7 linked regions of the Macaca mulatta genome follow. The protein of the gene in region 1 interacts with the protein of each later gene in a pairwise test. Links are inferred from orthologs where the notes say so. Each region holds a gene or a part of one and is shown on either strand. Other genes may lie near its edges.

The links.
Region 2: the proteins of PAK5 (region 1) and PRPF31 interact in binary tests that used the Homo sapiens proteins (3 or more experiments, as listed by UniProt). The two-hybrid records come from large-scale screens. The link is inferred for Macaca mulatta from reciprocal best matches to the Homo sapiens genes PAK5 and PRPF31.
Region 3: the proteins of PAK5 (region 1) and CCNG1 interact in binary tests that used the Homo sapiens proteins (3 or more experiments, as listed by UniProt). The two-hybrid records come from large-scale screens. The link is inferred for Macaca mulatta from reciprocal best matches to the Homo sapiens genes PAK5 and CCNG1.
Region 4: the proteins of PAK5 (region 1) and UXT interact in binary tests that used the Homo sapiens proteins (3 or more experiments, as listed by UniProt). The two-hybrid records come from large-scale screens. The link is inferred for Macaca mulatta from reciprocal best matches to the Homo sapiens genes PAK5 and UXT.
Region 5: the proteins of PAK5 (region 1) and INKA1 interact in binary tests that used the Homo sapiens proteins (3 or more experiments, as listed by UniProt). The two-hybrid records come from large-scale screens. The link is inferred for Macaca mulatta from reciprocal best matches to the Homo sapiens genes PAK5 and INKA1.
Region 6: the proteins of PAK5 (region 1) and CARD9 interact in binary tests that used the Homo sapiens proteins (3 or more experiments, as listed by UniProt). The two-hybrid records come from large-scale screens. The link is inferred for Macaca mulatta from reciprocal best matches to the Homo sapiens genes PAK5 and CARD9.
Region 7: the proteins of PAK5 (region 1) and TUBGCP4 interact in a two-hybrid assay, tested with the Homo sapiens proteins (2 studies listed by BioGRID and IntAct). The two-hybrid records come from large-scale screens. The link is inferred for Macaca mulatta from reciprocal best matches to the Homo sapiens genes PAK5 and TUBGCP4.

The regions. Positions count from the first base shown.
Region 1 is NC_133415.1:74,414,149-74,418,278, reverse strand, and holds part of PAK5 (serine/threonine-protein kinase PAK 5), read right to left. Parts: intron 2,208-4,130; coding exon 1,422-2,207; intron 1-1,421.
Region 2 is NC_133424.1:66,350,953-66,355,082, reverse strand, and holds part of PRPF31 (U4/U6 small nuclear ribonucleoprotein Prp31), read right to left. Parts: intron 3,585-4,130; exon of another isoform or gene 3,580-3,584; coding exon 3,482-3,579; exon of another isoform or gene 3,395-3,481; intron 3,293-3,394; exon of another isoform or gene 2,664-3,292; coding exon 2,557-2,663; exon of another isoform or gene 2,358-2,556; coding exon 2,188-2,357; exon of another isoform or gene 1,893-2,187; intron 1,616-1,892; coding exon 1,458-1,615; intron 1,295-1,457; exon of another isoform or gene 842-1,294; intron 383-841; exon of another isoform or gene 258-382; intron 1-257. UniProt on the Homo sapiens protein: Involved in pre-mRNA splicing as component of the spliceosome. Required for the assembly of the U4/U5/U6 tri-snRNP complex, one of the building blocks of the spliceosome.
Region 3 is NC_133411.1:172,255,303-172,259,959, forward strand, and holds the start of CCNG1 (cyclin-G1), read left to right. Parts: upstream 1-1,757; 5' UTR 1,758-1,968; intron 1,969-3,385; coding exon 3,386-3,649; intron 3,650-4,657. UniProt on the Homo sapiens protein: May play a role in growth regulation. Is associated with G2/M phase arrest in response to DNA damage. May be an intermediate by which p53 mediates its role as an inhibitor of cellular proliferation.
Region 4 is NC_133426.1:47,674,750-47,677,837, forward strand, and holds the end of UXT (protein UXT), read right to left. Parts: intron 1,302-3,088; coding exon 1,238-1,301; intron 1,053-1,237; coding exon 999-1,052; 3' UTR 953-998; downstream 1-952. UniProt on the Homo sapiens protein: Involved in gene transcription regulation. Acts in concert with the corepressor URI1 to regulate androgen receptor AR-mediated transcription. Together with URI1, associates with chromatin to the NKX3-1 promoter region.
Region 5 is NC_133407.1:113,277,236-113,281,451, reverse strand, and holds INKA1 (PAK4-inhibitor INKA1), read right to left. Parts: upstream 2,813-4,216; 5' UTR 2,786-2,812; intron 2,741-2,785; exon of another isoform or gene 2,718-2,740; 5' UTR 2,611-2,717; coding exon 2,560-2,610; intron 1,827-2,559; coding exon 1,029-1,826; 3' UTR 986-1,028; downstream 1-985. Other genes in the region: UBA7 (ubiquitin-like modifier-activating enzyme 7), read left to right, coding at 20-120, 582-711. UniProt on the Homo sapiens protein: Inhibitor of the serine/threonine-protein kinase PAK4. Acts by binding PAK4 in a substrate-like manner, inhibiting the protein kinase activity.
Region 6 is NC_133420.1:6,135,990-6,140,700, reverse strand, and holds the start of CARD9 (caspase recruitment domain-containing protein 9), read right to left. Parts: upstream 2,995-4,711; 5' UTR 2,922-2,994; coding exon 2,511-2,921; intron 1,999-2,510; exon of another isoform or gene 1,917-1,998; intron 1,345-1,916; exon of another isoform or gene 1,197-1,344; coding exon of another isoform or gene 1,044-1,196; coding exon 845-1,043; intron 408-844; coding exon 270-407; intron 110-269; coding exon 1-109. UniProt on the Homo sapiens protein: Adapter protein that plays a key role in innate immune response against fungi by forming signaling complexes downstream of C-type lectin receptors.
Region 7 is NC_133412.1:20,787,131-20,790,122, reverse strand, and holds part of TUBGCP4 (gamma-tubulin complex component 4), read right to left. Parts: intron 1,779-2,992; coding exon 1,662-1,778; intron 1,048-1,661; coding exon 908-1,047; intron 255-907; coding exon 242-254; 3' UTR 1-241. UniProt on the Homo sapiens protein: Component of the gamma-tubulin ring complex (gTuRC) which mediates microtubule nucleation.

The sequences.
Region 1 (4,130 bases):
CCTAACACACAAGTAAGCAAGTAAGCTTAACATGCAAGTAAGCCACACACACACAAAATCTTAGATAAAAAATAACCACCAATGTTCAAAGCCTGAGGATGTAACTCAATTCAGCTATCGAACATGTTAACTTATTTATTCCATATCACTCACAGAAATGCACAAGTGATATGCACAAGAAATGGGGAACATATCTCAGGCCTTTATTTATCAAAATTTGTTTTTCATTCTATATCTTGGGAACTAAGATGGTAGCTTTTTTGTTTCTTCTAAAGAATGGCTGAAGTAGCTCCAACAATACACTTAAATGACTTCTCCTCAACATCTCGGATGAGGTTAATGAGAAATAAGAAGCAAAGGAAAAATATCGACTATCTATAATCAATAAAGCAGGTGAATGCAGGCAGGCTTGGCTTGCAGAGTTTTCTGTGCTGCTCACCAAACTGTCGAGAGTTTGGTATAAATAAGGTACATGACTGCCCTGTGAGAAGGCACGTCCCTCTCACCTGCTTCAAGACCTCTATGTAATCCACAATCCACACCCAATGCTCCATGTTCACTTTTGCTGGACAGGTAAGGTAGCAAAAACATTTCTAAATGACAGGGAAAAATAAATCACTTGCACATTCTCAAAGGAAGTTTCCAAGACTTCAGACCTTTGGACCCATAGACCTTTGTCTGTGATTTAGTTTCAGTAACTTCTCTGGCAGTGATTTCCAAACTTTAGGATATCATGGACCAGTCAAATTTGAAAGCACACTTGGATCTGCTAACATTTAAACAAAATTTAAAAGAGGAATTACAACAAAACAAAGTAAAAAGGAGACAAAAACGCTCCAGCGGTCCAGCAACCATCTGTCACCCCCAAATTTCTTACAAAAACCAATATTTCAAATCAAATATAGTAAAAAGTACACACTCTTAATATGAAGGACCATCCCCTGAGTTGAATAAAATTAGCTTTATTTAAAAATTACCATGTCATCCTGAGTTTCTTTCCTTTCTGGCAGGTCCATGCAAACTTTGCCAGGATATAGGAACCACTGTATGACTTGATCTAATGCTCTATGATTTTATATGACTGATCCACTCCTTAACAGGAAACTTAGTGAAATACAGTCACATCATATTTATCACTCATATATCAGAATATCTTTCAAATAAATAAGTTTATTTGCCTTTTAATGAGAAACCAGGTAGGAGGGCCCAAAAGATAGGTTTTGATTTTAATGAATATATATGCCTTATCCTAAATCTTCTGCCCTGGGGCCTCAAAAGTGGAGACAGGGTGGGTTTTGATATTAATTTTCCCTTAAAAGGCAAACAAGTAGTTGGCAATCTGATCGTATAAAAAGATCATCCCAGCACCACCCTTGTGGAGGTTTTTGTACACTTCAGGGAAAGGAGGTAGCAAACGTTACCTTTGGAATGCACATTGTGGGCTCGGACAAGCGAGGGTAGGTGTAGGAGTTGTAGGAGTGTCCTTGGGGATGGGTTTTAAATGCACTTGCTCCAAATGGCATCATCGGTTCCTGGAGCCCCGAGCCTGACCTGGACCTCTGCCGCATGGCGGGCTGGGGGCTCGTCTGATTCAGGTACGAAGACTTCGGCCTCCTGTCATAGTCATCCAGGCTGGGTCCCCATTCACTTTCACTGTATGCCAAGCTCTCCTTGGAGCACCCGCTGGTCCCTGCAGTTCTAGAAGGTGTGAATTGGAATGAATAATCCAGAGGGGAGCTACTCGAGGCTCTCTGATACTCCCACTTGAGGTCACTATATTCACTTGGTTTGCTCAGTGAGTCCAAATGTGAGTGATAATCAGCAGAAAATCTGGCGAAATCGGATTTCAAAGGCTTCATCTCAGAATAGTAGGCCTCCCCGTGCTTCATTTTCATTACGTGCCCATTTTGTTTGGCTGCATGGCTGCCTCTATAATACGGATCCAGATCGTCTCCATAGAGACTCTTCTCCCTGTACTTTTCGGTGGTGTAGTCAGCAGTAGTATCGGATTCGCTGGAATACTGGGAGAAGGTGATGAAGCCATTTTCTTCCGCGTGGCCTGGACCGTGGCTGGAGGCTCCCTGATCTGGGGTGGGTGGGCTTTCTTTCCTTAGGGAGTTGGAACGAGTCACCGAGATGTTGTCAAAATCCTCTAGCAGGCCGTTGATGGAGGTTTCCTTGCAGGGTTTGTTTCCTCTAACGATTGTCTGGGGATAATAAAAGGAATACTGTTTGAGGAAAATATTTCATGACTTTAAGTTGACGGCGGCATCCCACCCCCACTCCATCCAGAAGGAAATTAAACTACAGAAGGAAAAAGACCCCAGGAACACTTAATACAAAATGACAAAGAAAAAATCGTTGATTAACTGTAGTGGTGAAATAAATGAAATAGTAGACAATAATCTCAAATTGCAATTTTCTTCCTACCTATCTCAATAGAGACATCAATTAACCACCAAAAAGCCATGTACGAGACTACATAGGCTCTCACTGTTTCATTTACCAGTTTACAGGCAAATCCCTTCCCCCTGCTTCTTCTACCTAAATAATAAGCCCCAACCATCTATAGATGAGCTGATAATTACAATTTAACACTCTATAACTGTTTGGTAATAAAAAATAATATTTATTACTGTTTTACATTCATTATTCAGATGATTTTCAAAACCAGAAGGCATTGTCGCCCAAGTATTAACATAACTAGAAATGGGTGTACATTTTTTACCCTTATATGGAAGACACATAATAACTGAGGTTATGAAATTTTATAGATGAGGAAGGCACTTCTTGAAACTGTAATTAGGAAACAGCCTGAAGATTATTTGTGTGATTTATGATGAAATGTGATATTCTTATTAAGTATATATACTTATACTATACAGCTTGTTTGCTCTGGCCACACTTCTGCGTAACATCATCGCTGAATTTTGGGTGGCTTAGTAATGATGGTTGCACCTGGATCTTAGTGACAAATTGTTCCCTTTAATGAACCTAAATAACACAAGAATACCAGGAACTGAAAGACATCGCAAACCACTTACAAAACCGTCAGCTGTTCCTTGACAATGACAGGATTCGCAGGAAAATATGATGGGGGTGGATAAAAGAACAAAGAACAAAGTGTTGTGACTTCAGACTTCCAGGATTTTAGGAGAAAAATACCTTTGAGCAACTAGCAAGGAGTTCAAAACCATCTTGGATGGTACAATAGAAGACTTCAAACTGGAGGAGGAAGTCAAAGTTTTCCTGGAGCTGATGTTTTATAAATCTATCCATGGTGAAACAGAGGCTTTATTTTTTTTTCTCTCAGAGTCCTGGACTAATGCTTTTGTTCTATACCCTTTTCTTTCAAATACATTTTTTGTTCTAGAATAGTTTTAGATTAACAGAGAAGTTGCAAAGAGAATACAGAGTTCTCATAGACTTCTCATCCAGTTTCCCCTTCTGTTAATATCTTGCATTGCTATTAAGGAAACTCCATGTTCCTATAGATTTCATTAATTTTCTTCTAGCGTTCCAGAGTTCTATCCAGGATATCTCGTTACATTTATTTGTTGTCTTCCGAGTTTCCTCTGATCTCTGACAGTGTCTCAGATTTTCCTTATTTTTTGATGACCTTGACAGTTTTGAGGAGTACTGGTCAGGTATTTTGCAGAATGTTCCTCAGTTGGGGTTTTCTTGTGTTTTTCCCATGTTTAAACAGAGGTTATTTGGTTTGAAGAGGAAGACCAGAGAGTAAAGTCACATTTCATCACATGATGTTCAGGGTACATAACATCGACATGACTTAGTAATGATGATGTTAGCCCTGACTACCTGGGTGAGGTCGTATTTGCCAGGTTTCTTATACACACAGTCCCACTCCCCTCCCCTAGCTTTCCATATATTGTATTATTTGGGAACAAGTCAATAAGTGTAGCCTCTACTCAAAGGGCAGGGATTTAAGCTCTGTCTTCTGGGGTGTGTGTGTGTATGTTGCGGGGTATCTATATAAAGTAGTTGGAATTATTCTGCACAGACTTGCTTATTTGCTCCCATTTACCTACTTATTCAATTATCTATTTATCTATAAGGATGGATGGACTCATGGTTATTTATTTTATACTTTGGGTTATAAGCCAAAACTA
Region 2 (4,130 bases), on another chromosome or scaffold:
CACAGCCAGCTCTGCTTGTTGCGCGTTTTCCCACCACTGCTATGACTAAAATGCCTTCTGATGATAACCAGTCGTCAATGTTTTCTTTTAGTCTGCTTTTAAAAACTGCAAACCTGTTTAGACAGCTTAATTTCATTACCACGAATGGGAGATTATTCAATAAAAATAAGTATGCAGTGATTAAAATAAAAACCACCGTCTTTGTGTCACTGAAATTCATGGTCTGTGCCACTGAAGGGAGATGACCTGTGTTCTAGGAGACATCAGGAGGATGATGTGAAACTCGCTGCCACAGAATCAAATGATACTGAAGATGACAGTCACAGGAATAACACTGGCAGCGGCTCCGCGTGGCAGAGAATTTCGCCTTGCCCAGGAAGAGGTTTGGCCTTTGCCCGGGGGTCCTGGGTGGCGGTCCTTGCTGGCTGGGGCCCTGGGGTAGCCACAGTGTGGTTTAGGGTGCCTGGGGCTGGCCACGCAGGAAAGCCCAACCACGTGGTTCAGCGTGGGGGCTCTGAGTTATGGGGCATCACCTGACCTGGAGACAGACCAGCCACACGGCAACACAGTCGTGTCTACACAGCAGAGCCACAATAAAGACTGAACACCACGGCCCAGGCAAGCGTCCCTGGCCCAGGCTTAAGTGCAGTGGTGCAATCTTGGCTCGCTGCAACCTCCGCCTCCCGGGCGCAAAGTATCCTCCCATCTCAGCCTCCCAAGTAGCTGGGATGACAGGCAAGCGCTGCCACACCGGGTTTTTTATTCTTGTAGAGACAGGGTGTTTCCAATCCCATTGGAATCAAGACAAAAAAAAGAGTCGGGGTCTCACTATGTTGCCCAGGTTAGTCTTCAACTTCTGGCCTCAAGTGATGCTCCCGCCTCGGCCTCGCAAAGTGCTGGGATTACGGGTGTGAGGCTGGCGGCCCTGTGTGTGCTGTCAGGCATCGATGCCGGGAGGGTGATGTGTCCTGACTGCGGGGAGAGGACACATCGCCCTCCGAGGTTGGTGACCTCTCCTGCTCCTCCTGTGTGTCTCTCCCTGTGGCTAATGTTAATCTGTTATACAGTCCCCAGCACAGCAGCCCTCAGGGGTTCCGTGTCTTTCCAGTGACGGTGGCCTTCGGAGCAGCTGCTAACCCGACGCTGCTTGTCGTGAGCTAGGCCTGCCTTGTGAGGGCCTCGTCTACATGGAGCCCTCGCCCCAACTCGTGAAGCAGGCGCTGTGCTCCCATTTTCGAGGGGAGGAGACTGAGGCACAGGGCACTCACGCCTCTTGCCCACAGTCACCCGACAGGTGTGCTGCAGAACCCTGGCTCTCACATCCCATGCTACCCTGTCCCCGGCTCCTGAGTGCTACTGTCAGCTGGGCCAGATGGTGGGGGTGGCTGCTCAGGCCGTCTGGGCAGGCGGAAGGCTCCAGGGGAGCCGGGGGAGGGGCTGTGACGCGGTGGGCTCACCGGGGGCAGGGACTGCACAATGTCACTGTGGTAGATGTAGCCGGTGTGGGGCAGCACTGAGGTAGACGAGAAGCCCGACAGCGTCTTGCGCTGGGCCCCGAGCAGCATGATGTTGCAGGCGGGCATCTTGGAGAGGTTGGTCAGGCCGCCGGCCACGCCTGCGGTGGGAGGAGGACAGGGGCGGTCAGAAGAAAGCGGGGGAGGCGGGGGTGCGCACATCTGCCTGGGGGCTCGACATGTGCCAAGCACCTTTACGTGAGGTTCTGGCTGGATTCCTCGGTGGCCCTGCCAGGCGGGCGACCTGGCCCATTCCGCGAGGGGCAGACGCAAAGGAGGCTCAGAGAGGGAGGGCAGCTGGCCTGGGGTGCAGGGAGGAGGCCCCCAACAGGCAACTGACCACCACGTTTGTGCTAAGCCACACTACCCCCATTCCAGGGATGTCTGTGTTTTGGAACCATTTTCACCAAACCAGGAGCCCCCTGACAACAGGGCCTGGGTGTGGTCATCTCTGGCTTTCCGGCACAGGGGAGGGAGGAGGAGCTGTGGGTGAGTGTTTCTCCCAGACGAGGCTTTGCTGTGTGCCAGGCTGGCTGACCTCTGTCACGTCCAGGGAGACGGGGTGTTGAGGCCCAGGTGCCAAAGTCCCCATTCTACAGAAAAGGGAAGCAGCTTCCCCCAGATCACAGTGTCAGCAGAGTCCCGCTCCATGGGACCCAGCCCAGGGCCTCACCCATGATCTTGGCGGCCGTGGACGCCCCAATAATGATGGAGAGGTTGGGCGCGATGAAGGACATCCGGGACTCCACGTACTCGTAGATGCGGTGCTTGGAGGCGTTCAGCTCCAGCGCCATGTCACAGGCCTCCTCCAGCCGCTCCAGCTCCTCCTCCGACAGCTGCTGCCTGCAGGGGCGGGTGGGCCCAGCCTCCTGGGTCTCCCGCCTGCTTGGTGCCCAGCACCCACCCTCTCAGTTGTGTGTGTGTGCACGTGTGTGTGTGTGTGTGTGTGTGCGTGTGTGTGTATGCCCACCTGCGTGGGTAGCTTCAGCCTAATCCCCAGTCCCACTGGCCCGGGCCCGGCGCCTCCCTCCAGCGGACATACCCCTGGGTGGTGGAGGCGGTGACGCTGACGACCATGATGGTGGCGTTGGTGAGGATCTGCTGCAGGTTCTCATTGTTCTTGCACTTGTCCAGGCTGTTGCCCAGCTCCTGGGCGCGAGCAGAGAAGACAGGGGAGGCTCAGGAACTCAGGAAGGCTTGAGAGCCTCTCTGGCCCTGCACCTACTCGGGTCTCTTCTCGGGGACACTGGGAAAGTCAGGGTCTCTACACTGGGGGCCTCTCCTGCCTCCACCGCCTGAAGCATCCACACCGTCTGCTCTGCTTTGGAAACGGAACCTGGGCAGAGCAGCGTCTGGGAAGACCGCGGCCTCACAAGCCTCTGCCTGTGTCGAGTCGGAGCACAAACCCGCGGCCTCGCTTCCCTGCGGGGGCTTCCCCCACCACCATCCTGATCCTTTCCCGGACACACGTGGGGACCGCCTCCTCTCCCTGCCCTCACCTGCATCCGCCCCTCTTTTCCGAAACCCTTCCTTGGCTTTCTCATAAGACCCAAAGGCTCAGTGTGATCCGACCTCTTCCGCGTCCCCTCCTTCCCCGCCTCACTTCCTCCCCGCTTGTTCCCTCTCCGGCTCTCCATACTTAACACATCTCTCTCCCCCAAATCTCCGCGTGCCTGCCCTGTGACGACCTTCGGATGTCAACTCCAATGCCACCGGCTCCGACCACAGCGGAAGCAGCGCGGGTCAGGCCAGCGGGGAAGCCCTCTCGGGAGACTGGGGTACGAGGGGAGCCCTGAGAAAGTCCCATCCAGGCTCCGTCCCTCTCACCCTGGGCAGAGCAGGCCACTGAGCCTCCGTCCACTCCTCTCCTTCACCTCCAGACCCCGAGGCCTCTGGGGGCGGGTCCAAGAGTGAGCCCTGCCTGCACCTTCACACCAGCAGAAGCACCGCTCCTCCTCTGCTCTCACCTTGACCGTGCGGATGTAATCCAGTGCATTGGGGACCAAGGACTCCAGTTCAGGGAATCTCTTCGAGTACTTATCCCGGATGAACTTATGGATGATGTCTAGGGTAAACGGGACAGGCGGGTGTCAGGTGAGACGGGAGGCAGACTCTGCTGGTTGGCCCTAACACCCACGTCCCCTTCTTCCTTTAGTAACTGAAGCCCTGGCTTGTAGCCTGGCATACGGGCACCAGCATACAGGCTCCATTTTTCAGCCGCCCTTACCGCTAGGTGTGACCAGGGGAATTAGTTCTGGTCTGTAAAATGTGAGCTGCAGTGACATGTTCTTAAAAAAAAGAAGTGCCTTGCTGGTGGGAATGCAGAGGCGACGGCTGGACGTGGGGCAGTCCCCTCGCACCACGAGGCAGGTGGCCGACCAACAAGATGGAAAGGGCTGGGGCCTTACGGGCAGCCAAGCGGCCACGCCGTCCCCGAGTGCTCGCTCAGACTCATACGCGAGGGAGCCACGCCGTCCCCGAGTGCTCGCTCAGACTCATACGTGAGGGAGAACACACTTCCTTCTTACTTACACCACTCCGTTACAGCAGGTGAACCTCGATCTGAGCTTGGGCTCAGCGGCAGGACCCTGGGAAAGGCCCGTGGGGAAGGGAGGG
Region 3 (4,657 bases), on another chromosome or scaffold:
CAATCTCAGCTCACTGCAACCTCTGCCTCCCAGGTTCAAGCGATTCTCCTGCCTCAGCCTCCTGAGTAGCTGGGATTACAGGCACATGCCACCATGCCCGGCTAATTTTTGTATTTTCAGTAGAGACGGGGTTTCACCATCTCGGCCAGGTTGGTCTCAAACTCCTGACCTCAGGTGATCCACCCGCCTCGGCCTCCCAAAGTGCTGGGATTATAGGTGTGTGCCACCGTGCCCAGTCTGCCATAAAGATTTTATGATGCTTTAGCCATTTTTTTAAAATTGTGCACATACATTCCTAATTTTAGGAATTAATATAGCCATTTTTTAAAAATTGTGCACATACATTCCTAATTTTAGGAATTAATAATAGGAACTAAAAGGCAAAAGGAGAAATCACATTTATAAACTCACACGTTAGAGCAAAAAGTATTTTTAAATAAAATTATTTGTTAAAGGTTATAAATTGCCAATTTATATTCACTAGGTAAGCTTTTATTTTCAAGAGGAAGAAAGGCCTCTTCCCCATTTGAGTCCCAGTTTTTTAAACTGACCTGATTACGTGGCTAAGGTATTATTGTGAGGTATTAATGTTTTCTTTTGTTTTTCCTTCCCCTTCCTCCCCACCCCTTTTCCCCCTTTCCAGAGTTTTGTTCTGTGGCATTGCCTTAGGTAAGTACATGGCAGGGCAAACAGCAGAGGTGACAGCAAATCTTCCAGATTTTCACTTTGTCAAAGTAAGAGAGACTGAACTGGGGCCATGAGAACAGAGACAATCCAATTACTGTGTAATTCATAAGAGTTTAGAACTGACTCCTTGTGCACCCTTTTTCAGGCCCTTTTACTAATGGACTTTTCTCACTTGTGATGATCTGGGAGAGCGAGAGTGAGGAGAGTCTAAGAAGAGTTCAGGCTAATTATTTTCCCACTAACCTGGCATAGGAGAGGTTCATAGAGATTAAATTATTTACAGTAAATAAAAAGAGTAATATTGCTTTACATTCTGTTCTGTAGACTGGGATTCACACTCACCACAATTATTCCTGATAACAGTCTGCCACACACCTTTCATTTTAAGCAATTGAAAAATTGTACCAACTTTTCTCTTTAAATTTGCTTTAAAAGCAAATTCAGAAAATTGCTAGAGGGTCAAGAAATTACACAGTCCAACTCCATTATTTGATAAATTGTACAAAAAGCAAACTAAGGCAAGAATCAACTAACTTTCAAAGTTCACGAAGAGGGCACTCTGGAAGTTGATAAACCACCACACTATATAAATTCCACTACCTCTTTATCTGTAATGAAAAAAATCAAAGGTTGACTTTTTTTTTTTTTAACTACTCACTGTATTTTTAGAAAGATAGGGCAGAACCACTGTAGAACTCCTAAACCCCACAGAACAAACAGTACATTCTGGAATGATACGCTGGCCAATCCGGCTGGCAGCCGATTGACCTGACCCAGGCAAGGGTTGGTGCATAGAGTATTTAGTTCGGCCCCCTACTGAATGAAGACACTTTGTTAAATTCTCCAATGAGAGACGCTTAGAGGTAGGGGCGTGGAAGAGGGCCGGGGAATTTGACGCCAGATAACGGGAAGTGTGAGCTGATTGGCCGGGCTTCTCACTCCACGGCCCAGCCTTTTACGGATAGCGGAGGCCATCCATCAAAAGAATTACACCAATCAGAGTTGAAAATGCCCCCTTCTCGCGAGAAAGCCCCGCCCTCCAATATATTCCTCTGCAGGGCAGGCGCGGCCCCTTCGGCTCCGAGCTGACCCTGATCAGGGCGAAGTCGTCTCGGCTGCGCTGCCGAGACCTCCACCCAGGACAGCGCCCCCTCCCCGGGCCTCTCTCCTCTTGCCTACGAGTCACCTCTCCTCGTAGTCCTCTTGGATCTAATATCGTGGGGTGAGGGGAGCAGGCCCGGGGAGGGTGGTTACCGCTGAGGAGCTGCAGTCGCTGTCAAGGTGAGTGGGACTGCGCGGGGGTTGACCGCCAGGTGCGGGTGGGGAGCGGGGTTGGGGACGTGGAGCGAGGAGTAGGTCTGGCCCGCGCCCTTTTCCGCAGTTAACTCTACCGCTGCTGTGAGCACAAGCCCAGGCTAGTCCGGGGCTGGAGGGGCGGAGCCGGATCCGGCCTCCTGGGGTGCCTTAGTGTCTGCCGGCCCAGTCCCAGGGAGTAGCCAGGGGAGGAAGAATGGAACCCCTGCAGTTAGAGGTTCCTCACATGACCAACTCTGAAGATCTCCGCCTTCCTGTCTTTAGGTTGGTGTGGAGAGGGACCTTCCGTGTATCTAGGGCTTAGCTTGTGCCCGGGACATGGTTGTGTTATGCACACTTAAATCAATGGAATTCCCAGGTTCACCTTTCAGACTAGGTTAGCAACACCCACCGCCCCCCGCCCCAGTGCGTGCTCTTAATGCCACCTTTTAAGTTTCCTTTCCTAACAACAATAAAAGTTGACTAATATTGAGTATTGTATGCCAAGAACTGTGCTATACTCTGTAAGTGGTGAATCTTGTTGTCTCTTCACATTCAGCGACAGATATTGTTACCCTCATTTTATAAATCTAGAAATAAGCTCAAGCTCATTATTGTTCAGTGTTTTTTAGGCACCTACTATATGTGCTAAGCTCTTTACGTGATTTCATTTAGGTCACACAAATCTGTGAGGTAGGTCATAAACCTTATCACTACTTTATAAATGAGGAACTAAGTACAATTAAGTAACTTGAACCGTTCATGTTGTTAAAATGTGGCAGAATACTTAACTACCATCTGCTTTTCACTTTCGGTATCCTGTCTTACGGTGATTATTCGTGGTTATCTATTGACAAGGTATAAGTTGAACAAGTATTTCTTGAAGATTTGCATTTTATTTTTCTAAAAAGCATGTTTCCGGCCGGGCGCGCTGGCTCACGCCTGTAATCCCAGCACTTTGGAAGGCGGAGGCGGGCGGATCACGAGACCAGGAGATCGAGACCATCCTGGCCAACATGATGAAACCCCATCTCTACTAAAAATATAAAAATTAGCTGGGCGTGGTGGCGCACCCCTGTAATCCCAGCTACTTGGGAGGCTGAGGCAGGAGAATTGCTTGAACCGGGGAGTCGGAGGTTGCAGTGAGCCAAGATCGTGCCACTGCACTCCAGCCTGGCAACAGAGCGAGACTCCGTCTCCAAAAAAAAAAAAAACACACATTTAGGATGTGACCAACTTGTAGAAGGGAAATAAATAACAGATGGCACTTTGCAATGACTTAGATGCACTAGCCGCATTGGGGGATGGGAGACTTATAAATCATTTCTTGGCCCAGTGCAAAGATGGCCAAGGAAAGCAGGAAGGACTACTTACACTCCTTTCTGGTCTTTTTTTCTATATATAGATGATAGAGGTACTGACAACAACTGACTCTCAGAAACTGCTACACCAGCTGAATGCCCTGTTGGAACAGGAGTCTAGATGTCAGCCAAAGGTCTGTGGCTTGAGACTAATTGAGTCTGCACATGATAATGGCCTCAGAATGACTGCAAGACTAAGGGACTTTGAAGTAAAAGATCTTCTTAGTCTAACTCAGTTCTTTGGCTTCGACACAGAGACATTTTCTCTAGCTGTGAATTTACTGGACAGATTCCTGTCTAAAATGAAGGTATGTTTGAAGCTACACTTTTGTAATTTTGCTCAGTGTGTTTTGGAGATGGAATTGTTACCTTTTGGCTGATACTCACAAACTTGACCTTTTTTATTTTCAGCACGTAGCCAAAACATTAATTTTGTCTACTACAGCATTAATATGATTTCTTATCATAAGAGTACATCAGGTATTAGACTTAAATTCTGAAATGAAAAATAGTCTAATATCAAGTAACTAATTGCAGTTTCCTAGTAAGAAAATTGGCTGTTTTTAAAAAACCCTTCTTGATAGGTTGGATTTGTCCATTTATTTACTATTTTTAGATATAAACAAATGTATTAGTGGCAGATATTTATTAGAGGCTACATTGTGGCTAAGAATATACTTCTTAATCACTACCCATATATAAAATTGTAAATGTTATAGCCTTAGACCTAGTCAAGACTTGCTTATGCTTGGCATTTCCAGCTTCAGTGTACATGCAGTGGGGAGGAGAGTGTATCTGAAGGAGCAACTATTTTTCTATACTAGATAAACAAGACTATGTCACTTTCAGAGCTTAACTGTTACAAATGCATCTCCCTTTCCCATACACCTATGGTCACTGGAAGAAAAAAAGATATGTGGCAATTAGAAGGAAACTCATATTTTAGTCCTTGGTATCTAATACAGTGTATCACAAGAAAGGACTTCAATATTTGTTGAAGATTCAAGAAATTTGCTTCAATAGACTAATTAACCTCTTGACATTTCACATGTGTAGTTACTACCTTTGAATCTATAAATGTTACATAAATGAATAATATGTAGCTGTCCCCTCAGGTATAATTCAGTCTAATGTGAGAATAAGATCATTGCTCTTATGTACAAGTCATAGTAAGAAAAGTAACTACCTTATTCTTTTAAAGAGGTATAAGTGTACTGCTGAAGAGGTTACAAGAAGAGAGAGAGCACAGAGATATTAATACTGGTAACAGCTTAGTTTCGTGTGAGCTGGACGTAAACAACTGGATAAAGTTTGAC
Region 4 (3,088 bases), on another chromosome or scaffold:
AGCAACTGACGAGGCTCGGGGCGTGTGTGTAGGGGGCGGGGGGCTGCCTCACACTGATTGGCTTACATGGGATTGATGGAAGACAGCCTCCAAGGACGGGGGTGGGTAGCCCTGTTTTTCTCTGATTGGCGGATGAGGGACTCCTAGACCCCTGCCAAAACACCAAGGGGGTGGTGCCGCACGCCACGCTGCTCAGCGGAAGCAGGACTTGTATAGAAATGGGCGTAGCAGTCGGCGGGAGTGGGTCGGGCTGGGCTCCGCGTAGGCGGGCAGGGCAATTCTTTGGTTAGAGAAGACCATAGAGCTGGGTAGAAGACGAATTTAGAACACAGCGGCGGTAGGAGGGCAGGATGGCTATCAGGCACACGAAGGAGCATTGAGTGGCAGAAACGAAATGCCTTCAGAGGGCAGGGTTGAACTGTGGCCAGAGTTAAAAAGGGGAGGAACCTGGCTCTGCGTTGATTGGCGGAGGCTGGACTCAACCTAGAATAGGGGCCGGACTAGGGAGAGCGGGATCCAGCTCCGTGCCTATTGGAAGCTGGAACCACTTACAATAGCAGGGGCTAGGACAAGGTAGGGCTGAGATGGATTTAGGGTAACGATTGGGTGTGTGAAAGGGTAAACCTTAGGGCCCTTTGATTGTTGTGGGAATGAACAAACCTCCACCATGAATTGGCCCATTCTCTATGGCAATTCAATGGGTGGTGTCTAGGAAAAGGAATGGAAGGGTGAGGTGGGGGCCCAGGTTGCCAAAATGACAGGAGAGAGGGCAGTGCACAAGGTCAACTGGCAAATGCTGCCAGGCAACAGGCTGGAGGCAGGACTGTTGGGGCATTTTAGAGGTTCCACAGAAAGAGACTGGATCTCTGGGTCTCTCAGTAACTTTGTGCCCTAGGAACAGGCCCCCGTGGCAACCAGCAGGGTTTATGGGGAAAAAGAAGGGCCATGTGACTCAAAGGCATTCAGGCTCTTTAATGTCTGAGGATGGGGGGAAGAAGTCAATGGTGAGGCTTCTCTGGGAAATTCTGCAGGCCTTGTAGTTCTCTAAGCCCCTGAAAAAGAGGACAGAAGAGACTGAACAAAGATTGAGTCTGGGTTACGCCCCCAGGCTTGCTCTGACCTCCCTCCCTTGACTCCAGTTTAAAGGGAAAGATGGTCCTTCCCTTCTTTCGCTCTCCCCCTTCTTCAGGTCACCACCCTAAACACAGAGTCTGGTAGTGGGGTGAGCTGCTCTCACCTCTAGCAACATGTGGATATGGGCTTTGATATTCATGGAGTCCTTGGTGAGGCTGTTGCTGAGCCTAGAGAAAAGAAACAAAGGGCAAAATGGTCCCCACTTATGAGTATGAGGAGGACCCTTCCTTATCACTTCAAGATCTACTTGTATCTTGGATGATTTCCACCTGGCTCACTCCTATGCAGAAATGCCAAGCCACCATCTGGTTTTCACTGATTCAAAGATTATTAAATGCCTACTGTATGCCAGGCGATTTTAGGCACTGGGGAGATAGCAGCAAACACAACAAACAAAACTCCTGGCCTGATGGACTTCAAATTCTTGTAAAGAGAGACAGACAAGAAAACTGATGGAATAAAAAATGTTGTGTCAGATGGTTCTAACTACAATAAAAAAATTTAAAAATGAGAGCGAATAAGGAGTATGGGAGTGGGGGGGCTGCAATTTTAAATAGAGGGCTCAGGGATGGCTTCACTGAGAAGCACTTGAGTAAAGACTTAAAAGACAGTGAATTTTGAGTAGGGTGGCTATATGGAGGATGTGTTCCACACACAAGGGGCAGCAAACACAAAGGCACTGAGGTGGGTGTGTGCCTGGCATGTTTGAGGTGCAGCAAACAGGCCACTCTGGCTGAAGGAGAATAAGTGAAGGGGGAATGTAAGAGGTGAGGTCAGAGAGGTAATGAGGGAGGCAGACTGTGTGAAGCTTACAAGGCCATGGTAAGGACCCTGGCTTTGACCTTAAGTGAGATGGGAGCCAAGGGAAGGTTGTGGCAGAGGAAGGAGGTTGAATTACATGAACCAGTCAGTTGACTCCTTTTCTCTAAGCCAGTTTGGATCAGATCTCACCCAAAAGAATCCTAATTGATATAAAGGGTCAAGGAAGGCCTTTCTGAAGAATGAAGAATGAGAAGGAACCGAAGAATGCCTAATGGTTAAGCAGTAGGAAGGCCTTTTCCACAAAAAGGCCAAGAGGCAACAAAGAGCTGTTTGACAGGCAGTAAGGTCAGAGCATTAGAAATTAAGTGAGTGGTGAGGGAAAGTGGCGTAAGACAAGGTCCAAGAGGTAGGAGGAGGTTAGATCAGGCAGGGTCTTGATATAATGATAAGGAATGTGGATTTTATTGTGCTGTCAATGTAGGAGTCAGTTTGAGGGGTAAATGAAACTAAATACTGTTGGAAAAGTAGAGAGCAATAAGACAGGATGTTAAATTGGGAAAAAAAAGTAGTATGAACCCATGCATATACCAATATCTCCCACGTTTTTATTTCTAGCCCAGAACTCTCTCTTGAACTTGACTAGGAGTTTTAATGACATCTTCTAAAACTCCACTTCAGTGTTTAATAAGTACCTCATACTTAACAGGTTCCAGACTAAACTCCTGACCTTCCCCTCCAAATCTACTCCTCCCCTATCTTCTCCATCTCAGATAATGGCAACTCCATCCTTCCAGCTGCTCAGCCAAAAACCTGGACTCCTCTCTCTCTCACACTTCACATCCAGTCAGCCATTCTTCTTAAAATCACGACTGTTCATTGCAGGTAATGCTTCTGATCTCCATGATATGGTTTCTCCATAGCACTGTCAACATCTGACATACTACATCATTCATTTATTGTTTATCTCCCCTGACTAGAATGTCAGCCGTATGAGGGCAGATTTTGGTCTTTTTTGTTTCCTGCTCTATCCCCAGGGACCAGAACAGTGTGAGGCACAGAGCAGGCACCCAACATATGCTGAATGAATAAGTGATTACTCCATTCAAAGGAACCTGAAGTTGGTTGAGTGTACGTTTAGGGACAGGAAATAAATGAAGTATGGGTGTTGTTGCCAGAGAGCAAGAATACTTTC
Region 5 (4,216 bases), on another chromosome or scaffold:
CTGACCTTTCTCCCTCTAGGAGCAGCACGGGTTGAGGGTGAGGATGCTGCTGCACGGCCCAGCCCTGCTCTATTCCGCCGGATGGTCGCCTGAAAAGCAGGCCCTGCGCCTGCCCCTCAGGTGAGCCCACCTGGGGCTTTAGACAGGCCCCACCAGTCCCTGGAGGCTGGGGCTAGGGGCCACACAGCCTTCTGTCTTCCCAGCCCCATTCTGGGCTCCTCACATCTTCCCAAGCATTCTTTTGCCAAATGGAGCCAGCAAAAAAGGCTGGAGGTGGGGTGAGGGCCGAGAGCCTGAGGAGGAGTCTTCAGGAGCTGCCTACTTGGCCAGCCCCATGGGCTCCCCACACGCTGCACAGCCCCCCTTTCACAGCCCACTCCCAAGGGACCCATAGCTTCCTGCCTCCTGCTTGCCTCACCAGCTGCTCCTAAAATAGTTTCAGATGTTTCCTGTCTTGAGTAGCTCTTGCTCCTGGCTTGGGCTCCTGATGGCCTGCCAGCACCCTCTCTAGTCCATGCCAGGCTGCCCACTGCCTGCCACTGCTCACCTCTCCAATCTCCCCTAAACCCCACCCCCACTAGGGTGACAGAACTGGTTCAGCAGGTGACAGGCCAGGTACTTGCTCCTGGGCTGCGGGTGTTGGTGCTGGAGCTGAGCTGTGAGGGTGAAGAGGAAGACACTGCCTTTCCACCTCTGCACTATGAGCTGTGACAAGGCAGCCACCCCATCACCTAGCTCAATGGAGCCCTGGATCCCAAGCACTGCATTGTAAGCCCACAGTAGGCACTCAATAAATGCTTGTTGAAGGAAGGCATAGTGGAGAGGATGGATGATAGAACACAGTGCACTAATGCACACAGGTGTGACATGGGCATGACAGGGACCTTCACACAGAGACAAAAAGCTCTTCAGATTTGTCTGCCTGGGCAGTGCCTCACAGGGCTGGGGCTGCCTCTTAGTGCCTCAGGGGTATGAAGCCAGGACAGTCTAGAAATAAGGCTTTTATTGTCCCAGGCTGGAGGGCAGGGTCAGAGGTAGCTGACATCATTGCAGATGATGGGCTGGCGACTACGGCAGCTCATGAGGGCTGCGAAGCGTGAGACATCCGCAGGCATTTCAGGTTCTGGGCGAGGTGGGCATGACAGCCGCTTTCCTGCCATAGCTGTCCGCCGAGCCCTGGCCAGCCGGCGCCGAAGCTGCTCGGAGAGGCCAAGCAGGAACTGAGGGGGCCGAGCATGGGCACGGTGCCCACCTCCATCACCTCCTTCACTCCCTGTCTCAGGCAGCTCCATCCAGTTGTGCACCAAGTCAGCAAAGCAATTGTCCCCCAGTACCAGGGGCTGGCGACTGCGACCCCTATTCAGTAGGGCTGCTGTCCAGTCCTCTGCTTCCAGTCCCTGCCAGTGCTCCAGGCAGGCGTCTGGGGTGGACTTGGGCCGTGGACGGTGGACAGGTGGTACACTGGCTACAGGGGCCCTGCTGGGCATGGGGAGGCCACTGACTGAGAGGCGCTGCCTACGAAGGGGCTGTGCTGAGGGTGCTGGGCGCTGGGGAACAGGTAGTTCTTCCTCTCGCCATGTGCTGCCTGACACCTCCGAGAAGCCAGAGTCCCAGTCCAGGGCATGCTCCCTGGGGCCTCCCAAGGCTGCACCCCTGTCTTCTGTCACCACTGCCTCTTCTTCCTCCTCCTCCACACAGCAGACTGAGTCTTCTTCCAAAGCACCTGAGGCCCTAAGCTGGTGGCGGGGCTGCACATCTGGGCCAGTTTGGGGGGTTGGCTGCAGGGGACCAGGCATCGGGGGTGAGCCTGTGTCCCGACCACACAACTGAGGGGAAGAGAGGGCAGAAGTCAGAGAGGTATCACTTGTCACCAGGTCAGCCCAGAGTACAGAGGGTCCAGGAGGGTTAGATAGGCCTGCTGGCCTGGGCAGCAGGGTGCTAGTGAGCACAGGGCAGGCATGGGGTGCTGGCACTCGAAGCTGGTGTGGTTCTCATTCACCGACCTGGTGGCAGTCCGGCAGGCTGCAGCACGCAGGGCTGGGCAAGTCGACACCCGCCACCAGGGCGGGCGGGCGGGCAGGCAGTGTTGTGGGCCTGAGCAGGGAAGTAGGTCCTGCCCAGGACTGGAGGGGGATTCAGCTCCCAAAGCCCAAAGCGTTTTTCACAGAAAGAGCGCTTGCTAGGTGAGGGGTGGAGAAGGGAGGCATAGGCCAGCCTGAAGTACGGGGCGTTCACCGCAGTGCTAGCACCTCGTTAGTCCCTTGCCGCCCCATGCCCCACCCCCAAAGAAGTTCCCCTTCCACTCTCTCCTCCCGCGCCGTTCCAGCAGCACGGCCAGCTGGATGCTGTTATCTGATGCTCAGCGCAGTTCCCAACCCTCCGAAATCCGACGCGGACCATCTGAGCCATATGAGCCGCGCCGCCCCCACCCCGCGCCGCCCCCATCCCGCCTCGGACGGGCACGCTGCAGCCACCCCGCACCCGTCTGCTGTTCCGGCCGGGCAGCAGCCTGGCACCCCGCACGCGTCCTCCCTAACCGCACCCGCTCCCGAGCCTCACCAGTTCCCAGCGGAGCTGGCTGAGGAAGCTGTCAAGCCGAGCGCTGTGCATGTCCGTGCCGGGGCCCCAACTGAGCCTGCTGGCTCCTCTGGGAACCCCGGCGGAGCCGCGCGGAGAGGGCTGGGCGGGCCGGCCAGCGGCGCCCTCAGCCTCCGCCTGGCTGCGCGGCTCCTCGCTCTCCGTAGCTCCCGCCGCCGCCGCCCCGACATCTGGCAGCCGCGCCCCGCCCCGGCCCCACGGCCAAAGGGGGAGGGGCTAAAACCCGGCGTCCCTCCGGACTCCGCCGCCGTTCTTGGGGGAAGGGCGGGGTCGTAGCTGGAAGCCGGACGGGGTCGGGCCCGGGATACCCAAGCCCCCAGATGGTTGTGTGGACCCTGCATTTGCTGCGTGACGCAGGACAGGTCGCCTCCGTGCGGGGGCCTCATCCTCCCCATTTGTTCAATGGTGAAATAGCGGTCCCTCTAACGGGGCGTCATGCTGCGCCCGCACATAGGCAGAGCGCCCCGTATGGTCGGACCCAGAGAGGTTGTGGCCCACTCGGGGCCTGACCCACGGGACCCATTCCTGAGGCTGGCCTCGGCACTCCCTGAACAGGATGGAAGTGGGGTTCGGCCTGAGGACTCAGAGAGGGTGGGACTTTGTGGCAGCGCACTGGCGGGGCCTCAGCCGCGTTCCAACCGAGCTAGACGGGACTGCCCTCTAGTGGGGAGTGCTCGGCTAGTCGCGAGTCCAGCGGCGACCCGCGACCATCGGCATGCCCTCTGCCGGTACCAGGTGCAGACTGAGGGTGGGTGCTGGGGTGAGCCTGTCTCCTGAGGTTGCTCTATCAAACAGGCTAGGCTCAAGAGTAGTGTAGCTGCAGACAGACTGGACATACCAGCTACAGGAAAATACCAGGGAATGAGGGCCATGGGCTAGCCTGGGGAAGGGCAATCTCAGAGGAGGTGACATCAGGATGCAATCAAGAGGAGGGGCATTCTAGGCAGAAGGAGCAGCCAGGGAAAAGACCCCGAGGGACAGGAGCTGGACAGGGCCAAACATAAAGAAGGCCCAGGTGTCTGTGATTGGTGGTGGCGGCAGAAGGGAAAAGGTCAGCAAAACCAGGCTCTAACGGCCTTAGAGCAGAATGTGGGTTTTGTTCTTGGTGTGATGAGGAGCAATGGGGGCCTCTGAGCAGGAATGACCTGGGCTAGCTCTTGTTTAGATAATCCCAGCTGCTTTCAGAAAAGGATTCTGCAATAAGAGTGGAAGCCCCTGCCGTCATCCAGGCAACGAAGGGGAGGGCCTAGGCCTGGGCAGGGCAGGTGCACTGAAGGGGGGTCACTTTGGGGTATGCTTTGGAGCTAAAATCAAGTCTTGCTGATGCATGGATGTGGGCAGGAAAAGAGGCATCAAGCATGACTCCTACATTTCTGGCATTAACAGCTGGTTGGATGAAATTGCCATAAACTGATCTGGGAAAGACTGGAGAAGAGTGGATTTGGAGAGGAAAATCCAATGATCATTTATGGACATGTAATCCTTGAGATGCCTGATAGACATCCAAGAGGAGTTGCAGAGTCAGCTGCTAGGTGTATGACTCTGGACTTCAGGACAGAGATCAGCACTGGAGCCTTGGATCTGGGAGGAATAGTGAGTGAAAGGATGGTATGTAAGG
Region 6 (4,711 bases), on another chromosome or scaffold:
ATGAAGTCATCCTTGGAGCTCAGCAGCGCGGTCAGGTCCTGCACCTTCTTCTGCAGCTTCATGACCTCGGTCATCAGCAGCTGAGTCAGGCCTGACTCCCCGGACGCGTCTGTGGGCCGCGCCAGCGTTAGACGGTGCCTGTGTTCCCCGGTGGCCCAGCTCTATCACGCCCTGCGCTGTGGCAGGAGCTCAGGGCTCCTAGGGATGGGGGCTGGGCAGAGGACCCAGCACCACTGCCCGCCCCCACCACCGCCTTCCCCGTCACTCACCGATGATCATGGAGAAGACACGGGCCGGCTCCTTGCCCGTGACCTTCTTGTACAGCTGTGGGTAATAGAGTTCCAGGCTCTCGAGGAAGGCCACGTAGCCCTTGTGGCCGGTCCGCTGCAGGATGTCCAAGAGCACGCCTGCGGGCCAGAGGGGCCTAACTGGGGGCGGGGCACAGGCGAGGCAGAGGGCTGGGGTGGGTGGGCCCGGGGGCAGGGACAGGTGGAGGCTGGGATGCAGATGAGGTGTGCTGTGGTTTGGGTCGTGGATGAGGCACCCTGTGGGTCTTGGTACTAGGCTGGGGACAAAGTGCTGTCCACCCATCCCTTGGCTGTCTCAGGAGCCCCCGCTGTGGTGGGAGTCCCACTGCCCCTCTTGGCAGCACCGAGCTGGCAGGAGAGGCTGGGGGATAGGGTGGCCATGTGCCAGGGTTGAGGTTGGGCCTCACTGGGAGGCCAGGGGCAAAGCCAGGCGGGGCTCTCCTGGGGTCGAGGGTCAGGGTGGCAGAGCGTGCAGCCACCTCCAAGCGGGCTCCTTGGTTGGGTTTGGGACCTGGGGCCTGCGGGGCAGCACTGACCCACTTTCCGTTTGCGGATGACCAAGTTGGGGTCACTGAGCACCTGCTCCTCATCGTCGGGGTTCAGGACCTTGCACTGCCGCAGGTAGGGCGTGATGCGCGAGGGGTCGATGACCGACGTGAGCATCACCCGGAAGCCCTCCAGGACGCTCCAGCACTCATCATCGTTCTCGTAGTCCGACATGGCCTCGCAGGCAGGCTGGGGGGTGTGGGGCAGCCGCTGAGAGTGACGCCGGCTCCTGCCCCCACCCAGGCCCGGCTCCCGCTCCTTCTCAGACGCTGGGCCAGGGCTCTCGTCAGGGCTGTCGAGGGGGTCAGCCCAGGGGCATCCAGGAGAGGTACCCAGCTCCATGTCCCATCCCCATGCTGGATCCCCCAGGGAGGCGGCAGAGACACAGTGACCCGCTCCCCGCCAGACCAGCCGAGGGCCCCTCCACAGCCTTTCCCAGCCCCTGCTCCTGCCCCTTGGCCATCCGTGTCACCCAGATATGCAGCGGGGGAGACACAGATGGGGTCTGAGAGAGGAACTGCCTCCACGGCATGACTCGCCTCTGGCCTCCGCCTCCTGGACACTCCCACCACGCCCTGGAGCCTACAGGGGCAGCCACCTCCATGGGTGGAGGAGCTGTGGGCACCTGCCTGGCACTACGGCCAGCCCAAGCTGGGTGAGAGCAGGTTGGCCAATGACCCTCCCACTAGGGCAGCAGCTGGGGGAGCCGGTTCTGGCGGAACTTCCCCATTTCCCTGACCGACGCCTGCTCACATCCCGCGCTGTGCCCTCCCTCCTCCATGGCCGGCTGTTGATGATGCAAGAGTGGCCACCCAGCCCTGCCCCAGCTGCCAGGGTCGCTGCACTGGCCGGGAAGAGCTGCCCACAGGAGCGTGCCTCTGTCACTCCCCGCCGGCCCCGCAAGCTGGGAGGGGCTGTCGGTGTTGCCCTTGGCTGGCCAGGAGTGCTGCTGTGCTGTTTTCTCCAGGTTCTTAGGTGACGGGCACCCGTCAATCTCTGGACTCTTCTCCTGCCCCCGATGAGGCCCGACCCCCATCCCACTGGCTGAAACAAGAGAACTACCCATGTTGGGACCAGCCCAGCCACTGCTGTCCCTTTCTGCCAGCACGGTGGAAGCCTCAGCCGCTGAAAGCCACTCCCTCTGGGACTGGGGCAAGGCTGGGAACAGCCACATGGTCCTGCCTCCCACGCAGGTCCCCGGTCCTCAGCCTCCAGCCCCACTGGGAAATGCTGGTTTCCTGCCTAAAGGAGCTGGGTCACTACTCCTGGAGACACTTGGTCTTTTGAAGTGTTTGGTCTTGGTCTTTTGAAGAATTTCTCAACTTCCCACTGTACTTTGTCACCCCATTCAGGACAGTTTTGACAGACAAGGGGCTGAATAGAAACACCGGCCACACAGCGGACAGTCCTGGGAACACTGGGCCCCTTTCCTGCCTCCCCAGCCTGAAATGCAGGGTCCCACCTGCCACCGTAATGCCACTGAAATGAACATGTCTCCGCCCAGTGGCCATGAAAGGGATGGGGCAGCGCGGCGGAGGCTGCCTGGCTGCCTGTGGGAAGCCTCATGCTGCTCTGCGGGGATCAGCGCCAGGATTCTGAACGAAGCCGGCGCCGACCTTCTTGGTCACTTTTCAGAAAAGTACCAGACCCACCCACCTGAGGGTCTTCCAAGGAGCCACCTGCACGGCAGACGCACCAGGAGCCTGGGACGCGGAGCCTCGGGGAGATGCTGCCTGGGGCTGCAGGGAGGGAGGAGCGTGCCGGACGCCTGTGCACTTCCTGATGGCTTAACTCCACAGTCCCGCCAGTCCTCCCACAGGGGGACAGTCCCTGGTGGCCTGCCTTCTGATTCGTGCAGCCCAGGAGGCCCCGAGAGGCAGACGGAAGTGGAAGTCCTCTGCCCTCCACAGGAAAACTGCTCTCAGCCCTCCCAGCCTGGCCGGGGGCCAGGGGTCCTGAGAATGCCCCAGAGGCCCAGCCCGGGCACCTGGCAAGTAGAAGAGACAGCAGAGACCCCCAGGAGGCTGGACGAGGCCAGACCGCACCCAGCCGCTTTGACCTGGTCATAGGTTTCTGGAGGCTTCTTCAGGAGGGCATGCTCTGCCCTGTGCGGACACCCTTGCCCTCGCCGGCATCTCAGGACAGCGGGGCAGGGCATGTGCAGGGGGCACACAGCCACACAGCATGCCCAGCACACGCCTTGGTCATGAAAGGGCTGCAGCCCACCTTATGGAGCCCAGGAGGCCACTGCAGCCTGCCAGGGGCCATGGCACCGGCCACCACCCAGCTGCACACGGGGGAGAAGCGTCCCTTTCAGAAGTGTCGCTCGGTATCATTATCCTTGTCACGAGGCATCCTTGCTCTTCTCCAGGATGCACGTGAGGACTGAGGCCACTCCCAGGGTCCCCCAAACCAGCTTCAGAAGCACCGGTGATGGCAGGGCACAGCCCGCCCCCCATCCACAGACAACGGGCAGCAGGGTCTGCCCTGAACTATGCACTTCAGCGTGGGGCTGCTGGAGCCTCATCCCTGCAGGCTGGGGAGCCCCCAGGCCCCGCCTCACCGGTAAAGCTGGTCGAACCGAGTTGCCACCCAACAGCTTCGAGAAGGGGGCTGCCAGGCTGGAAGGCCAGGAAGCTGGTGCGGAGCTCGCCTAACCGTTCCCAGCCCCCGGCCCTCAGGCCTGACATCACGCAGTGAGGAGTGGAGTTAGGGGTCCTCTGGGGCTCTTGGGAATGCCACACTCCAGGCTGGGCCCCTCACCAGCAGCATGAGCGAGTGTGCAGGCAGGAACGCCGTCCTGGGCCCTGCTGGGGAGTGGGCCCGAGCTGGCACCAGGCCCTCATGACCCAGTGATTCCCCAGCTTGTAAAACGAGGGACCCCAGTGATTTCCCTGTGGTGTCCGTCCTTAGGAATTAACACACATACCATGTTCTCTAACCATGTCGGAAGCTAAAAATCAGTAACAGGTATCTGGAAAATCCCTAAATATTTGGAAATTAAATAATATACCACTAAATAACCCACAGGTCAGAGTGGCCACCAGGAGACTAGGCACCAGTTGCTAGAGAACCAGGCACAGCAACACATGCTCAGGAGCGCGGCCGGCCATGGGACCGTCCTGTCTGCCGGGTGCCGAGGGCTGAGGCCCCACGGTGCTTCCAGTGAGGGAGTGAAACCCAGAGAGCAAAGGGCCTGGGGGCGCTGCTGCCACAGAGACGAAGGAAAGGGAGTGAGGGGACAGACGGAGAAGATGGGGGCTGGTCTTATGCCAAGAAAGGCCCACGCAAAAGGACAGTGAAAGTTGTGGGGGCTGCCATCGTGTCTGGGTAGCCAGGTCACCTGTTCCAGGGAACCCCCTGGGTCAGCTGGGGCGGTGCGAGGGCTGGCAGCCATCTGGGGAGGGTGCCGGCTCAGCATGAAGAACAAAGCCACAGGTGCTTTCCATGAAATGGGCGAAAGCCTGCTTCTCTGCTGGGAGGGCAGCCAGGGTACAGGAGGCCTCGAGGACCCCAGTGCTGGGCCCCCAGCACCCTGCCTGTCCCCGAACTGCCTGCACTAGGGTGGCTCAGCCACCAGGCAGTGGCCTGACCCCAGTCGGGTGGGGGATCCCTGTACACTGCCCAGTATCTCAGGACAATAAAACCACAACAGCCTGTGTCCGGCTCCACAATTAAAAACAGAACTTTACTCCTCCAAGTGTTCAGGTGTGCACTTGGGGAACAGCTGTGCCCTGTGCCACACGGTCAGTTGGCAGGCCTGCCTCTGTTCACTGCGGACCTGGTCGGTGGGTGGCCAGCAGACACCTGGCCTCTGGCTGCCTCTCTCGCAGGCTGGGTGTGGGCTGTTTCTCGTC
Region 7 (2,992 bases), on another chromosome or scaffold:
CAATGTAAAGGATCAGAGATGCCACATGTTCTCCTTGATGGGACAGGCCTTTCCACATGGGAATGATGGGAAGGATTTGTACTCCTGGATGTTCAGTAACTGCTTCCAGGAGAAAAGGTAGAGTCCTATCACTAGGCCACAGATACTTATTTGTGTTTGGCTAGAATGGGATGTTTGTTTTGAATCTTCTGGTACAAACTTGGGAACGTGGCTGTTATTTCAGTTTATGAGCCATAACTTTTCACATCCCGAAACTACAAAAGAGAAAAAGAGCCTTATTAAGTATCATGCTTTCCCAAGACTGCCTTCAAAGAAATATGAATCAGGACAACCTGTGGTCTAAATAATGTCGTCTTAAAACAAGAGTTTCTTTTGACTCTTCTGCTAAAATAGCTTAGAAAAAAGTCTACTTGCAGACATTTGAGAGAGAGAAAGGACAATAAAGTGATTTTCTGAATGGGAATGACAGAGCTCTGGGAAGCCAGCTACCACTGAATCTCACTTAAAGTTTAGAGTTAGAAGGGGTGGTCCCCTCCTTTCACCAATGTGGAAGCTAGGGACCAGCAAGGCGGGGTGCCCACGGCTGCACAGCTAGTTCATATCAGAATTGGGAATGGAAGGCACACTGCCTCCCAGCATAGCAATACATAACCTAGCAAAGGACTTAACACCTATCTCACTGTCAGGTTTTTTAGTATTTTATGATGATGATGATGACTTCTACTAGAAAATAATCTTCATTAAAATTATTAAAGATGGTCACACCTCTATCTCTAAACCTTGTTTATATAAAATGAGCGTATTTGGACTATATGATGGCTAAAGTCTTCTTCCAGCTCTAGAATTCTGCAACTCATTAAAAAGTCACCCACAAAAGTCTACTGAGTTACCCAAGGGTTGCTCCTACCTGCCCAGAGTTCCACCAGCCTGGGTATAGTATTTGTTATAATCTAGTCGTAACAGTAGTTGAGCCAAATCTGAGTTGATCTGATGATTCCGAACACTGGAGAGAATCTTGAATAGGAGTGAAGACTGGCGGCTAAAGCCCTGCAGAGAGAAGGACTCAGCTGTCATTCCACTTCAGCTCACCAACTCTCCATATGGAGGATGGGGGCGGAGGGAGGAGTTTCTTGGAAAAGCCTTGCTCAAAATTCTACAGAACCACCTGGCCTTCCCACATTCCTATTTCTATTAGTTCTTAAAATGACTTGTACCAAATCCATACATGCATGACTTCCTATGAAAGTACTCTTTCACCAGTAGGAATTTAGTAGCTGGTTTCCAGTTAATGTATTTTGTCAAGTACTGGGGTTGGGGAGAACCCGTTTTGATTACAAGCAGATAATTATCTCAGTGAGATAGGGGTTAGTTCAAGGAAGTAAAGAGGGGTAGGATGTGAGGAAGTTAGAACAAAGCCAATGCTTATTTGATGGGCTGAATAAACTATTCAGGACTGAACTATTTTTGAGCACTCTGAGGTAGCACAGTAATTACCTGATTCAAAATCAACTGATACCAACATTTTTATCTTTATATCTTATTTCTGTACGTGTGTGTATTGAGGAAATGCTTTACTGACTCAGAGGAAAGATCATGAATTCTCCATTGACAAAACCACCTCTGTCCTTTCGGCAAGGCTGCATACTTCCAGGCAGACGCACCTTCACGAGAATGCTCAGCTGGGCGGCTCCACGCTCATCCAGTGGGCCTAGGTTCTGACTGACCAGCGAACAAAAACTGTGACAGAGATCTAGGATTTCATTCAGGCAGTGAAACACCTACCCAGGAAACAGAGTTGGCATTAGGAAAAGAAGGAAGGTACGTCCATGAAATTAAAGATTTGGGAGAACAGTCTGATTAATAGCTGACCTCCCAAATCTGAGAGGATAGACACTGTCACTTGCAAGGCCTGCCAGCCCCTCAGACATACAATATGTGTAAAACAAATGCATCCTTTCCTGCGTACACGAGTATTACTCTCTCAGCCCCGCACCAAACCTCCATTCTAGCCACATTTAACTCTTCATTTCTTAGACCCGCAGAGTGTGTTCCTGCCTCTGAGCTGTGAGTGTTGTTCTCTTTGCCTGGGATGCTCTTCTTTTTAATACCAGTTCAAGTCCCACTCTCTCAGTGAAGCACTCCCTTCCCCACTGTAGCCTTTAGTGAACCCCGTTTCTTGCTTCTTTATTATCTGTACTGTTGTCCACTTGGCAATTGTTCAGGCCTCTGTGTTGTTAATGATTTCTGTATGTATATATATGTCTTGTTTTTCCAACTAGATTGTGAGCTCCTTAAGGGCAGAGCCATGAATTATACCTCTTTGTATCCCCAGTGCCTTGCATACAGTAAGCACTCAATAAATATTTAATGATGATGACCTGCTCTGATACTCGGCTTTTCCCTATGGATACATCTATGCCACATAAGGACAGCATCGACCCATCACAGTAGTTCTTGGTTGTTTTCAACCAGCCCTCTGAAATGGCATTTATTAATATATATCTTCCTCTTCCTGGGCAGCAGAAATAGCCCTAAACACCAGAACATTTTTAAAAGTCTGTAACGGCTGTGCTGTAGCACACTGAGGAATAACAACCAGCTCATGTCAGAGAGGAGGCATGACCGTTCCATTAGAAACTACCAGAGATCATTTCAATCTTCCTGTTCTTTATCCTGGAATTGAAACTAGCTTGTGAGCTTTAAAAAAAATTGGTAGCTGGGTCCCACTGTTTTAGGGATTCTAATTTAAGTGCTCTGTCATCTGGATTTTTTTAAAGGGTCCCGATGATTCCAATGTGCAGCCAAAGTTGAGAATGACTGCCACGAAGGAGACATACATGTATTTATAGAAACACACACATCGAGAGAGAAACACTACTCTAGCTGTCTATGAAAACTTTGAAATGACTGATCCATCCTGGTCCAAAAGATTTCTAAGAAGGTGAACTCTATATGCTTTTCATTAATTTTTCTGTATTGTCAGCAAGGATTT